Lytechinus pictus: one gene and its partner. The protein of the gene in region 1 binds, or shares a complex with, the protein of each later gene. Links are inferred from orthologs where the notes say so. Each region holds a gene or a part of one and is shown on either strand. Other genes may lie near its edges.

Region 1 (7,352 bases):
TTTCCTGCGGATCCCTACCCGTCACCATATTTATCTTAAAACTTGCAGACGATTTGTATAGATACGACTAAATGCGGATTATTTCATCCACTTGCGGGTAACCTTACAAACTGACACATTGTTACGGCATATTTTGGTAAATGTACATGTAGAGTACCGGTATATTGTTCATAACCACCTTCAATACAAATATTTGATGGAAAATAGCTAATTTCATCACTAATATCAATTATAAAAGCTATTTAATATTTGCACTAACTTAATTCGCACGTACAATGTATTAGAAAGATTTAATGAACTTTACTTCCCTCTCAACCCATTGATTGCTCGATGCTGTAGTTCCCAGGGTTTGAACAAAGGCCAAATGGTCCCAGTAAACAACAAGTTAAATCTTTAACCACTTTGAGTCAAAGTGTTTACACCCTACTGATTCCACACGAGTCAATTCAAATCTACTTGAATAAAGAGGTAAAGAGGAATGGATGAAATGGAGACTAACCAGATCTTGCAAGCAGTTCACCAATCAGATTGCTCAGTTCTGCTTCTTCCTTTAGGTTTCCTCCTGTCTGTGCTTTTAACTTGCATTTCTGTAATCCTGTAAATCAAGAAGAAAAAAGGTTTGTGCGTCATAGCACGAGAACCACAAGGCATATTGCTCTTAATGTACAATGGCAAAATGACTTGACAGGGATGACAGCTGACATATGGAATGACCCAATTACAAATCACTGAAATCAGAGGTAAAAACTACATGTATTTCAGATTTCTTTCTTCCGTCTCCAATTGATTTCCAGTTAAATTGAGCTTGTAATCATTGTGTGTGCAAATTGAGGTTGACATCTTTCTAATCCCATTAACTTACCTTCGTTAAAAAAATCTTGAAGATCTACATGTAACGTCACACATCAATTCAGCCTTTGGCTAAGGAGTACATACACATTACTGACATACAAGGAAAAGTGACAACCATATATTCAGTAGAAAACTTGCTGATACTCCGAGTGACAAAGGTGTCACTTTATGTGTATTAAACATAAAACTCATGCAACAACATGACCTTAAAAACATTATAAAACTAATCTTCTGTAGGGTACATTTCATTCTAATTTCACTCCGTGTTCATCCTACCATGAGTCTCAAAATTGGTGATTTAGAGCCAGTGAGTTTCCTCTCACGTATTAATTCACTGCCGATTCCAAAACATTGCAAACGAAAATCGCGCATGCGCGGGATTGCAGCTCAAGATCATGAATATTCATGAGTATTCCTATAGATCGGGCCCGTTTCACTATTTACATATTCATTTATCAGATCTTGATCTATAGGAATATTCATGATCTTGAGCTGCGATCCCCACGCATGCGAGATTTGCGATGTTTTGGAATACGTGTGAGCAAACTGTCACTGGCTCTAAATCATGAAAAATCACAATTTTTTTTTTTTTAAGAATCATCGGAGGATGGACATGTTGTTGCATGAGTTTTATGTTAAATACACATAAAGTGACTTTGTCACTCGGAGTATTCAGAACGAGATTTAACTAAGGCTTTATATGTTCAGGTAGGTGTAGGTGTAGAGGTAGAGAAGTGGAGTGGAGCCTACATGAACATCACTTGAGGTACCGTAACTAGCAGATATTTTGTGAGCAGTTTTGCATTGGGCTTTCTGGAGCAGTGGGGAAGGGTATTTTGAAATCAATTCTGAAACTTGATCCTGCTATAAGAGAGGTGAAAAATGAGTAGTGTATTTCCATTGGATTTGCCATTATCAATACTACAAAAACTTGCTAGTTTACAAAAATATGGTAGGCCTACATTTCTTCACAAGAAGTCAAGATACCAGACTTTGAAATTCCTTTTTAATTCAAATTTCAAAATTAGTTCCAACAAAAATATGACCAAATGTAAACTAAGTAGGTGTATTTGGAGCATTTTATTCTCTTCAATTTGATACCAAAATCCAAAATCATTACCCGTACATTTGGATAATGGGATCATATGTCAGAAATGCATTGAACTTTGATTTTTCCCTCAAACCACAATCATTTTTGCCTGTGTGAATGCGATGAAAAGGGCGACATTTTTTGCTCTGTGTGCAGTCACCGATTAAACAGTAGAGACGCACGGCCAATATTGGAGACTGTCTCCAATGTGGGAGATTATCTCCAATATCAGAGACTTTTGTAAAGAATTTGGGTATCCAATTTCAGAGACAGTCTCCAGTTTTGGAGTCCAATTTCCTTTGTTTACATTTGCTGCAAAAGGATTACCTTGGCGGCAAATAAAAATGTGATAAGCAGATTCCTCATGAGACATGAAAAATTACCCCTTTTCACGAATTTCACCGTCTACTTTAAATATTCACCGTCTACTTTTGTTTTGATAAGGATTTTTGTTGTCAATCACACACAAAACAAATGGGCTTCTGACCTCAGTGAGACAAAATTTTGGGTGGAAAAAAAAAATCTGGACACTTTATATTTTTGAAGCCTCCTGTTTTGTCTTTGCCGCTTGGCCTTGGATTACACTACAATTTTGTACAAATACGAATTCAATGACAATAGTTGCAATCATCTTTCTATTTTGTTCTCTATAATATTTCCTTAACATTTTAAACTAAAAATTGATGAAACTTCGCCTGTAAATTTTTCCAAATGACTTTCTAAAATTGATCGTCCGGACACACACAACAACTGGGTAGGACCTATACGAAGTGCCAGTGCCCCGCCATTGCCCTCGGGCTCGGCCTCGCAACGAGATCTCGAAGCACGACCGGGCCGGGTCGGGCTGTCTATAGTGGTACCTATCCGCTGGCTCCAGCAGGGCGTCTCCGACTTCGACCGACGAGTGCAAGCAAGTTTAATTTCATTTTCAATTTTCAAATATCATTCAATTACGGTACAGTGTACATTCGATACCATGTGAAACTTACTCTTGAACTCCTTCTTCTCAGCATTATTCATAGTGGTGCAACCTTCATTCGCTTGATAGATTGGTCCTAGATCTGATATATATTATGAATTTGATGAATGAATCAAATTTCGCGCAAAATTTAATTGGGAAGTTTCGTGACAATTCGGCCAGCACGCGCGCATAATTCATACATTTTCTCGCCTCTGCATGCCCTACAACTTGGAATTTGGAAAGGATGCGAGAGAAGGAGGAATTAGGGGGGGGGGGGCTTGCTCGGCCGCGCCTGCCCACTTTATCAATTTTTAATTTCAAACCTTAGCCTTGAGCAGGCATTTGCCTTGAGGATTTGGAACCATGAAATTCCAAGGCATTTTCTAAGCATTTTTCATTGTCTAGTTTCAAAGATATTTGTTCTTAAAATTTCATTTTAGACATGGAAATTCGTTTTGCTCACAATAAAACAAATATCAATTTTGTGAGCAAAACGAATTTCCACGTGGACAGGACAAATTGAATTGAAAATAATTGCTGTGTTACTTAAATGATAATGATATATAGGCTTGATAGCCAATACCCAGTCAACAGCAGCACAGCATCAACAATATAAAGGCCTAATAAATAGTTCCCTATACGTTATAGGGCCTACATGTAAAAAAAAAAAAAGAAATACATTAAAGGGGTACTCCGCTGGCTGAAAGTAATTTAATCCAAACACATGCCAGGAATAAATGGATTAAAATTCTTTGAGTAAATTGCTGAAAATTTCGGTGAAGTTATTGAATTTTAAAGTTTTATTTTGTGAAAACAGTTATAGTCATGAATAGCTAGTTTGGCTGATACATTTTACGCATATTCTAAGAGCTTGGGGCTGAATACACTTTTGATCAAAATTGACTTTAAAAAAAATATATAATAATGTATCTTTGACATGGGAATCAAATGCACCATGTCACATTTGAAAAATGGGAAGGTTGGTAAAAATTGATTGCAAATCTAAGTTGAGTTTTATTCCAAAATGAGCAGTTTTTATCAAGGGGCCAAATCCACCATTACTTTATATAAAGTTATGCATTCAAATCCTTATGTACATGTTGTGAAAACAAGTTCACACCATCAGTGCAAATTTGGATGAAAATAACCAAATAATTACTATTATTTTTATGAATATTTTTGGAATAAGACATCGACAAGTTATCATCCTTATAGAAAATAATTTTAAAAAAAAGATTTTCAATTTTTTCAATTTTTCATTGGATAAACAGATGTACTCTACTATTAATAATGGGGGTCTGAAACCCAAAATAAACTCCGAAACTTAGAAAAAGTCCTGCTCTTATATTATAAAAGAGCAGTAAAAAAAAGGAAAGTAAAAAAAACCAGAAGGTGAAGTAAAAAAAAAAAGTGCCAGGGAAAAGAAAAAATTAAAAGCAATAGAACGGAGAAAATGGAGGAGAAAGAAATAACTCAAATATGAAAGAAGCTTTTCATCCTCTGCAAGAAAAGAAATCACGAAAAAGGCGATTCCATGGTAGAAAAATGAGCCATTTTCAATACTTTTCACCTGCTGTCCAAACAAAACAAGGAACTTCAATTTGTTTTTGTGTTAATATTGGCTGGGTAGTCATGTAAAAATGATGACTATCAACCAAAATGTGTTTTCCATAGTGAATTAGGGGTTACGACACACAACATTCTCACCTATAATTCACCCATACTCAACTTTTTTTTCTACCCGCTTTAACTTTATTGACAAACAAAGAAAGTTTTATTGCTCAAGCATTCAGCTAAAAGACTATAAATTGTTGTCAAAATGTCCTGTACGACACGTGGGTATGGAATCGCCCAAAAGCAGTGTAAAAATAATTTTTGCCAGCCAGAAGGGCAGCAACAGTGATAATAGGTATTCTTGGGCAACTAATAAAATCCCCATGAATTACTGAAAAGATCAAAGGATATTTTTGACTGGACTTGATCCAGTAATAGGTCAAATTCATGTTCATGGCCCGTCTTACAAAAGAGTTATGATTGATCCAATCAATCGTAACTCTATGGAAATCCATTAGTGTCATCATTTTTTCGACATGAAATTTGCATAATGTCCTTTTTAAAAAAGGAGAACACACCAAATTGTCAAGAAATCAATGAATTAATTTATGGATATACATTCAAATCTATAATCTTTTTATATGTTAACTTTGCTGGCTTTCCATAGTTGCGATTGATGATAATGATATAGATATATTTACCCAGGGTAGCCACTTCAGTTTCGAAAACTGTTCTACCAGCGGGTCCTGCTATTATATTACCCCGGCTTTTTAGCTGAGCTGCCTAGGCGCTCAAGCATTCAAGGAATTTCTTCCTACCGGGTACCCATTGGTTGAGTACACCACAATGTGGATGAGTTTCTTGCTGAATAGGAAAATAAGCCATGGCTGGGATTCGAACCCACGACGGGCCCACGACCTTCTGTCATGTCTGTTTCAAAGTCAGAAGAATAATCCACTGGGCCACAACACTCAATTGATCGGATCAATCACAACTCTTTATAAGATGGCCCCCATGTGATGAAATGTTCTCACATGCTAGATGTGCATCATATTGATTTTATATGAATTTCTCTGAATGACGTAATTTTACGGGTCAGGGGGGACTCCCCGATATGACCCGAACCTATGAGATGCTATGCCGGTCAGCCCCGCGGGCTTTAGCCATAACAACTTACTCAGAATTCAGAATATCAAGGATACCACCAACCTTAGTATATAGGCTTATATTTTTGTACCAATTTACATATTAAAAAATGTATCTTTTGTGGGACAAGTTACCTATTTTCAAAATTTGACGTATTATGAAAATATTTCTTAACAAAATTACGTCGCTATGGTCGCTACTGACTTTAGCTTTCCATAATTACCGAAAACCGTTTCGTTCCAGAGGATATGGCAGCAAAACGTCAAGTAAATTACATAAAGCCCGCCGAGCCTAGTTTCCTGGCAAAATTCAAGAAGGATGTTGGATACAAAGAAGGGCCATCAGTCGATACAAAGGTGAGAAACTGTTCTAATTCTAATATTTAGCCAGTTTAAAAAATAAAATTTTATTTATCAAGTCTAGACTCTGTCTCTGTCTGAGACTGAGTAACTTCTGAAGCTCCAGCGGCGTTCCTGCACTTGGCCCGGCGCAACCGGCATGGCGGCATTGCCACTGGCACTGCTACTAGTAGTAGTACTAGCCAGGGGCGGATCCAGCTTTTTATAAAGGGGGGGGGTTGGGGTGGTATGCGAGGGAGCGTAGCGACCGAGTCCAAGCGAGCGGAGCGAGCGAGGGGGGAGGGTGTGGGAGGGGGGTGTCCCCCCTCCCACAGTAGGGAAAATTTTTGAAAATCTGTGTGTGAAAATGGCGTTTTCTTGCATCTAAAACACCACTCTTTTAAAAAAATGGTCCCCGGATTTTTTTTTGGGGGGGGTTGCAACCCCCCCAACCCCCCCTCTAGATCCGCTTCTGCTAGCTGCTGCCACTGCACTGCTCCGCGGTACATGTATATATTATATCTGAGTGGGCTCTACCTGCTTACGAGTTACGGCTACGGCCCTTCTTCCTTATTTTATTTACTACCTTCGAAAATTTTGACAGATGTGGAACTAAACGGCGCGGCGGCTCTCCTTTTGAAGTTTTGTATCGGCCAAAATTTAAACCAGTCATTGGATGGTTTATTTCAGTTCGTTTTACTTTTATTTTTAATTATGCCAATTGCCAACTTGTCTACTTTTTTGTTTTTTTTGTTGGAAGATTGGTAATATACCGTATATATATATATATTGTCAGGCGCGTAGCCAGGGGGGGGGGCGGTGGGGGCGGTCGCCCCCCCCAAAACATCCCCAAAACGAAAAAAAAAAGAAGGGAAAGAAGAGAAGAAAAAAAGAAAAGGGAAGGGAGGAAAGGGAAGAAAGGTAGCTTTGTCGGGTTTTTTTTTCTTTTTATTCTTTATTTTTTTCTCAAAAGAGAAACTTCTTCACTCTTGCTCTAAATTTATATATGAATTTTGCTTCCGCGCTGCGCGCGGTTAAATGACAATATTGATGTTTCTCCATTGTTCCCCCACCCTTTCTCTAACCCTGCTTTTCCACCTCAGCTATGTGTGTTTCTTGCCAGTTAAAGTTCAAATGTATAGAATAGGGCATGGAATTAGAGTAAGGTTAGGCCGAAGTATATGAAGTTATCTTTTTTTTAATTGATCGCGCAACTTCTGGTCGGGTCGGCTCCGGGCGGGTAAAATCTTTATATAAATTTCTGCCGTCACCTCCATAAAGTCAACTTCTCCTTCTTTTCAGATCATTACTAAACAACCATAGTTTGGGGCAAACAGGTTCCCAATTTAAAAAGAGGAATGTATAACATTCGTGTCGTATTAGATAAAAAAGTACAATATTTTTTTTCAAA
Region 2 (7,094 bases), on another chromosome or scaffold:
TCCTTGAACTGTAGATGAATGGCCATGCCCATTCAGATGACTTTTTATGATTGTTGCCAGGGTGGGAGGGGGAGGGATGTTTTTAATAGTTTTAAATGTAGTTTGCATACGTTTTGGCTGGGAGATGGTGGCCTGTGAATCATGTGCCTACCGGGCAGTGTCCCTTGAACTGTAGGTGAACGGTCATGCCCAGTCAGATGGCTTTCATGATTGTCGCGAGGGTGGGAGGGATGTTTTTAATAGTTTTAATATGTAGTTTACATACATTTTGGCTGGTGAATGGCCACGCCCAGTCAGATGATTGGTTTGGATTGTTTCCAGGGTGGGAGGGGGAGGGGGAAGGATGTCTTTTAATAGTTTTAATACAGTTTTACATTTTTCCTGAGATTGTTGCCAGGGGTGGAAGGGGGAGATGGAGATTCTGGTCTGGGAGCTGGTTGCCTGTAAAGTACATGTCTTGGTGAAAGATAGGGCCATTACGTCAGTTGATTTGCTAGGTTTTGCCTATCAAACTCTAGTAGCAGTGGCCATGCCCTGTCAGATTTTTTTTTTTTTTTACGTAGATTTGGCTGGGATATGATGGCCTGTGAATTATGTGCCTACCAAAGGCAACGTCCTTTGAGTGTAGCTGAACGACCATGCCCAGTCACATCTATTTTTATAGTCTGCATAGAGTTAGGAGATGAAGGTGTGTAAAGTATGTGTCAAGGTCAAAGGCATGGCCACTACATCAGTTGATCATTTAATTGTAGTAGCAATAGTCATGGCCAGTCTGATCATATGTAGCTTAGATTTAATACCTATTTGGTTTATGATGGCCTATGAATTATGCCTACAGGACCTTGCCCAATTATTAGAAGGTGAATAACCATGCCAAGTCAGTTGATTTGTTGGGATTTTTTATAGTTTGGATAATGAATCTGGCTGGGAGATGGTGGCCTGTGAAATATGTGCCTACAGGGTCTTGCCCTGAAATCGTAGGTGAACGGCCATGCCCAGTTAGTTGATTTTTTTTTGGGGGGGTAAGAATTGGTGATTTGGATTTTTTGAATTCTACTAAGATTGATATCAATCCCATTTTATTTATTTTTGAGTGGGATATGATGTGCCAACCTATAATCTAAGACAAGACTGGAGCTTTTGTCTATGTTATGACTCTGATGCTGTTACGCAAAGCGTCACCAATACATCTTTTTATCAAAGAATGTCCTGTGGCAGTTTTCTGTGACTAAGAATCTGCACCTAATCCTAGTTGATAAAAATAAGTAACTGAAGATCGGAGTGTATAGACGGTGGCAGCTTCACCGCTATGGTTTTTAGTCTTTTCTTGAGACGTATTGCTTACCTTTTGCCAATTAGCATCAGACTCGTAAAGGCAAAGACAAAAGCTACAGCCTAGAGTGTGGGCTAGTGATGCCCCTCATTAATTTAAGCGACCGGCCTCGTCCAGTCAGTTTAAGAGATTCATGTAGCTTAGATTGGGTAATCTCTGGCATTTACAGGCCCGCCTGTTAAATTGTAGGTGAACGATATGAGATTTTTAATATTGATCTATTTTAATAGCTTTGCTGGGAGATAGTGGCCTGTGAATTATGTGCCTTCCGGGCAACATCTTTTTTTTATAGTTCGCATAATTCAAAAATTCATATGGAAACCTTACTCCACCCACCATTTTAAAAGCACTTTAAGACTATTGGGTTGGCTTTCATTTTAGCCCCCCCCCCTCTTTTTTGTCTCGCCTGAACGAAGTTAATAAATTTTCCTGTTAGTCTGTTGGTCTGTTATAGCTAAGTCACATTCCAGCACGATTAGGGTTAACAATGTACTTGCAATGTGTTTTTTGGCCATTTTGGACTGGTTGCTGACTGAACGGTTGCTGACCGGACGCTTGTGATCATCGTACGAAGGCTGGGGCTCTCAGGTAGCATTGATGGGGGTGATCAGACAAAGATACTGGGAGATAAAGTTTTCTAATGTCTCCGCCGATATTTTTAATCGCCCACTCATCCGTGACACATCATTTAAGTATCGTTCAATGTCCAGCCATGAATCGGCCGATGTCCTTAGCATCGGAGGTCAACTCCTTGAGAGCAGATATCAGTCAGACATCGGCCATATCAACCGATTTCTGTTCGGACGTTAGTCACTAACCGATGGATGTCCGACCGGTATGCATCGATGTATGACCAATGTGATTGTCATCGGGCGGACAATGGTAGGTGATTAGAGATGCATCGTGGGCCCTTTATGAACCGCATCATTTAGCATGTACAATTGATGTCTGTAGGATACTCAATCAATAATCTTACGATGTCCGGTTATCGCACGAGTACCGTAGTAGGATTAATTTCGGATTATTATCAGATATTCAATCGATGACCAGATGTTGATCGCTGCCTCCCTGGCCCAAAATAATTTTGGTTGTATGGACGCGACCTCAAGATGGCAATTGTTACTGTGATGTGTTACTATTTGGCTGATGAGGACTGATGTTTAAAAAAAATGCTCACCCTTCGTCTACCCCTGATGTCCTGCCATCGGCCTGCGAATTTGACTTAATATGTCGTCTGTTGGTCTGTTGCAAAAATGTCCAGTTTTTGTTCAACTTGCTCTCATTTCTTTATTTCTGCATCAGTTACATTCATACTTGGTGCATACGATCCTTGGGTCCAAAGGTAATTTAAAGTCAAAAGGTCAAATGATATGAAATCATGGTCATCCTTGTTTTTGTTCAACTTGCTCTCATTTCTTTGTGCATCAATTTTCATCACACTTGGTTGAACGAATCCTTGGGTAATACTACATGTGTGTTGTTGAGGATGATCAAAGGTCATCTCGGGTTCAAATTGTAACGTTTTTGTTCAATTACTTGTTGTCATTTCGTTATTTCTGGATTAATTATGTTCACACATGGTCCATATGATCCCTGGGTAATGCCACATGTGTGTCCATGAGGATGATGGAGACAAAGGCCATCTAGGGGTCAAAGGTCAAATGATGTGAGGTAATGTCCATTCTTTTTTGAAGTCTTTTGTGTAACTTGTTCTCATTTCTTTATTTCTGTATCAATTTTGATCACACTTGGTACAAATGATCCTTTGGTAATACCACATATGTGTTCTTGATGATGGGGTCAGAGGTCATCTAAGGGTCAAAAGGTCAAGTTTTTGTTTAACTCTAAAAGGACTGGGCCCCCCAACGCTTTGCGCGATATTTCCAAAACGCAAAAAGATAGAGCCGCAATTTTTTTTACTTTTTTCTTTGAAGTCTCGTGCTTCTTTTGAGACCGAATTCGCAACGTACAGTTATAGTGTCACGACGCCACATGACTTTTATGAGACAATGTCATGTCAAAAATGGCTCATTTTTATACTTTAAATTTGTTTACAGTTTATGGAAGATGAAATTCATAAAAAGGTGTTCTAATTGGTCTGCTTAAATAATTTAGGGTTTAATTTAGTTGTTAAGTGGTCTGTAATAATTTCCATTGAAAAGAACAATGAAAAAACAAGATGAAGACATGAAGAAACAAAGAAATACATAAGAAATTCTAAAAACAAAGGAAAACATAAGAAAAATTTTGGCTTTCACGATTCTTTTTTGGAAACCTTTGATTAAGATTGCAAGAAAGATGACATCTGGGGGAAAAAATGAAAATTTTAAGTGAAATTGGCTGTTATATATATGCAAATAATGCTTTTCACTAATGAATTTGCATAGTTCATAATTGAATAAATGTTTCAAATTAAAAAAAAAAACAATGACCTGTAGTTTATGAGGTAAAAATGTGCCAAATTTCCAGTCCTTTTAGGGTTAAGCTGCTCTCATTTAATTATTTCTGCATCAAATATGTTTACACTTGTTACAAATTTTCCTTGGATAATTCCACATGTGTGTTCATGAGGATGATGCGATCAAAAGGTTAATTGATACAAGGTAATATCTATCCTTATTCAAGTTTTTTTTAACTTGCTCTCATTTCTTTATATCTGTATCAACTTACTACAAATAATCATTGGGTGAGACCACACTTTTGTTCTTGAGGATGATAAGGTGAAAGGTCATCTAAAGGTCAAAATATCATATTGCATATTTTAGTGATCGCAAAATCAGGAGAGATTGCTGGTTCACGAACCACCTTGTATAAAACTTTCACCTACATGTACGTGTATGTACTACACAGAGGTTTTTTTTAATTTATTTTTAATTTTCTTTCCAAACAATTTCCTAATTGTGTTGGATCGTCTTTGAGAAATTCCCTCCAAGATTCCAACAAAACTACTCCCCTGTATTCTTATTTTTTCCATCTTGTTCTATATACTGTCGATCAGGCAGGTGCTTGGGAAGATAGAGTCTTTATTGGGGAAGCAGAGCCATTGGTCTGTAACAGGTAGGTAACCAGATAACTGTTTTCACAAAACTGTCCATCAAAGCTGTGCATAATCTTATGAACAAGTGGAGTATGGCAAGCCAAATGTGTGTGTCTCAGTCACATATTGATATTGCTTTAGAAATAAAAAATGCTTTGCCTTGTAAATAGTAAACAGGCAGCCAAAACTGCTTTAAGACCACTCTTTAGGACCACCAGGCAAATGGGACCACAAATTTAAGTTTCCTCTGATTATATTTCCACATTGAATCATGCAGATTACCTGCTTGATAATGTTCTTGTCCCCTTTAAGTTGTTTTTATAGACGGATTGTTCATGTACGTATGAAGTAAATCATTTTATATACAGCAATAATTCTTAACATTTCATGACAACGGTTGAGCTTACAGTTTTTCACTTCATAATTCAGTCTATTGTAAAGTTATGCATGATATAATCAAGAAAGCTGTATGAAAGATTTTGTATGATATTTATAAAATGTTTCCACTCAGGTTTTACAAAAGATTTGAAGCTGATACACCCAATAGAAGGAAATGATAATGAATTGAAAATAAGAATTGACATCTAATTTGCATATTTTGATATAATTGCAAAACTGTTGTGTTGTAAAAAAAAAATTCAAATAGAAAATATCTTTGATTTGTGCCTTTTCTTTTACAATTTCTTAACTCTTCACGAAAATATTTGAGCTTACAGTTCTTCATTTCATTGTTCATTCTTTTGCAGTGTTATGCATTATTGAATGAAGAAACACATGGACCCCTCAGAAAAACAGCCACTTTGGCTAAAGAAAATGAAATACAAAATGTTGCACTGCTTGGTCTGTTCTCAATGCAGATCCATAAGGGGTCAAAATGGTCTGAAAAGTTCATTTATTAAAAAATTATGTTAATGGAGCATGGGGAGAGTTAAATAACTTTACAACTGATTTCATATTTATCCTGTAGATCCACTCATAGAAGCTAGCAACAAGTTGAGAGAACAGGTCCTACAATTCTTCTTCTATGTACATTCTTTCATTCAAAGGTTTGTATCAATGCTTAAGAAGACTGAAGATAGATTATAACATCATTCAACAAAAGTTTTCAAAGCAAGCTTTCAACGTTTTGTATTATTCTTCAACAACAGAGCATTTGAAAACAAACTGGAAGCAAAGAGGGCAAAGAGTTTAGATGAATTACTGCTTTGATTTTCTGATGATTTTGAAGTCTAAAGAGAAAAGGACAACACAAATGCACATCCAAAAGAAATGTTCAAAGATTCCAAAGTTGTCTGCAAGGGAAATGGTTGTTCATTCAAGCAAGAAGTTTTTTTGTCTCGCCTGCATAGCAGAGCGAGACTATAGGCGCCGCTTTTCCGACGGAGGCGGCGACGGCGGCGGCGGCGGCGTCAACATCAAATCTTAACCTAAGGTTAAGTTTTTGAAATGACATCATAACTTAGAAAGTATATGGACCTAGTTCATGAAACTTGGACATAAGGTTAATCAAGTATTACTGAACATCCTGCCTGAGTTTCAGGTCATATGACCAAGGTCAAAGGTCATTTAGGGTCAATGAACTTAGACCATGTTGGGAAAATTATTTTCAAAATCTTAACCGAAGGTTAAGTTTTTGAAATGACATCATAACTTAGAAAGTATATGGACCTAGTTCATGAAACTTGAGCATAAAGTTAATCAAGTATAAGAGAACATCCTGCTCGAGTTTCAAGTCACGTGACCAAGGTCAAAGGTCATTTAGGGTCAATGAACTTTGGTCAAGTTGGGGGTATTTGTTGAATTACTATCATAACTTTGTAAATTTATGGATCTAGTCCATGAAACTTGGACATAAGGCTAATGAAGTATTAGTGAACATCCTGCCTGAGTTTCAGGTCACATGACCAAGGTCAAAGGTCATTTAGGGTCAATGAACTTTGGCCAAGTTGGGGGTATTTGTTGAATTACCATCACAACTTTGAAAATTTATGGATTTAGTTCATGAAACTTGGACATTAGATTAATCAAGTACCACTGAATATCCTGTGCGAGTTTCAGGTCACATGACCATGGTCAATGGTCATTTAAGGTCAATGAACTTTGGCCGTGTTGGGGGTATATGTTAAATTTCCATCCTAACTCTGAAAGTTTATGGATCTAGTTCATAAAACTTGGACATAAGAGTAATCAAGCATCACTGAACATCCCCTGTGAGTTTCAGGTCACAAAACCAAGTCAAAGGTCAGTTAAGGACAATAAACTTAGGCCATGTTGGGGTAATTGTTGAAGTGCCATCATAACTTTGAAAGTTTATGGATAGAGTGAATGAAATGTGGACATGGGTGTAGTTGACAGTCTTAAGTCTCCGTTCAAATGTCATTTATGGTCAATGAACGTGGTATTATGTCATTATATGAATGGTGTTTTTGTGAATGATTATTTTATAGTAGTTTTCAAAGTTAGCACTGCTGCTATATCAAATTGCGTAATGCAGGCGAGACTGCCAGAGGCGTTCCACTTGTTTAAGAATGAACTGACAGTGAACTGCAAATTAATTCATACTGCATCCCATTTCTACAAAGAAGTACAAGACAATACACAGTTGCACTGTAGCCTTTGATGGTGACACGTAATGTTGACAGTTTCTTGAGAAAACTGAAAAGTGATTTTTTTTTTAAATAGATAATTGGGGATATATCCTATTTGATTTGATAAAAAGACATG

What was found. The genes of interacting proteins can lie anywhere in the genome.
Region 2: tonsoku-like protein (region 1) and protein MMS22-like share a complex: the UniProt entries of both Homo sapiens proteins name them as parts of the MMS22L-TONSL complex. The link is inferred for Lytechinus pictus from reciprocal best matches to the Homo sapiens genes TONSL and MMS22L.

The regions. Positions count from the first base shown.
Region 1 is NC_087246.1:68,429,863-68,437,214, reverse strand, and holds the start of tonsoku-like protein, read right to left. Parts: upstream 3,088-7,352; 5' UTR 2,963-3,087; coding exon 2,932-2,962; intron 596-2,931; coding exon 500-595; intron 1-499. Other genes in the region: uncharacterized protein KIAA1143 homolog, read left to right, coding at 5,852-5,959. UniProt on the Homo sapiens protein: Component of the MMS22L-TONSL complex, a complex that promotes homologous recombination-mediated repair of double-strand breaks (DSBs) at stalled or collapsed replication forks.
Region 2 is NC_087248.1:10,792,365-10,799,458, reverse strand, and holds the start of protein MMS22-like, read left to right. Parts: upstream 1-4,052; 5' UTR 4,053-4,390; intron 4,391-5,337; 5' UTR 5,338-5,416; intron 5,417-7,094. UniProt on the Homo sapiens protein: Component of the MMS22L-TONSL complex, a complex that promotes homologous recombination-mediated repair of double-strand breaks (DSBs) at stalled or collapsed replication forks.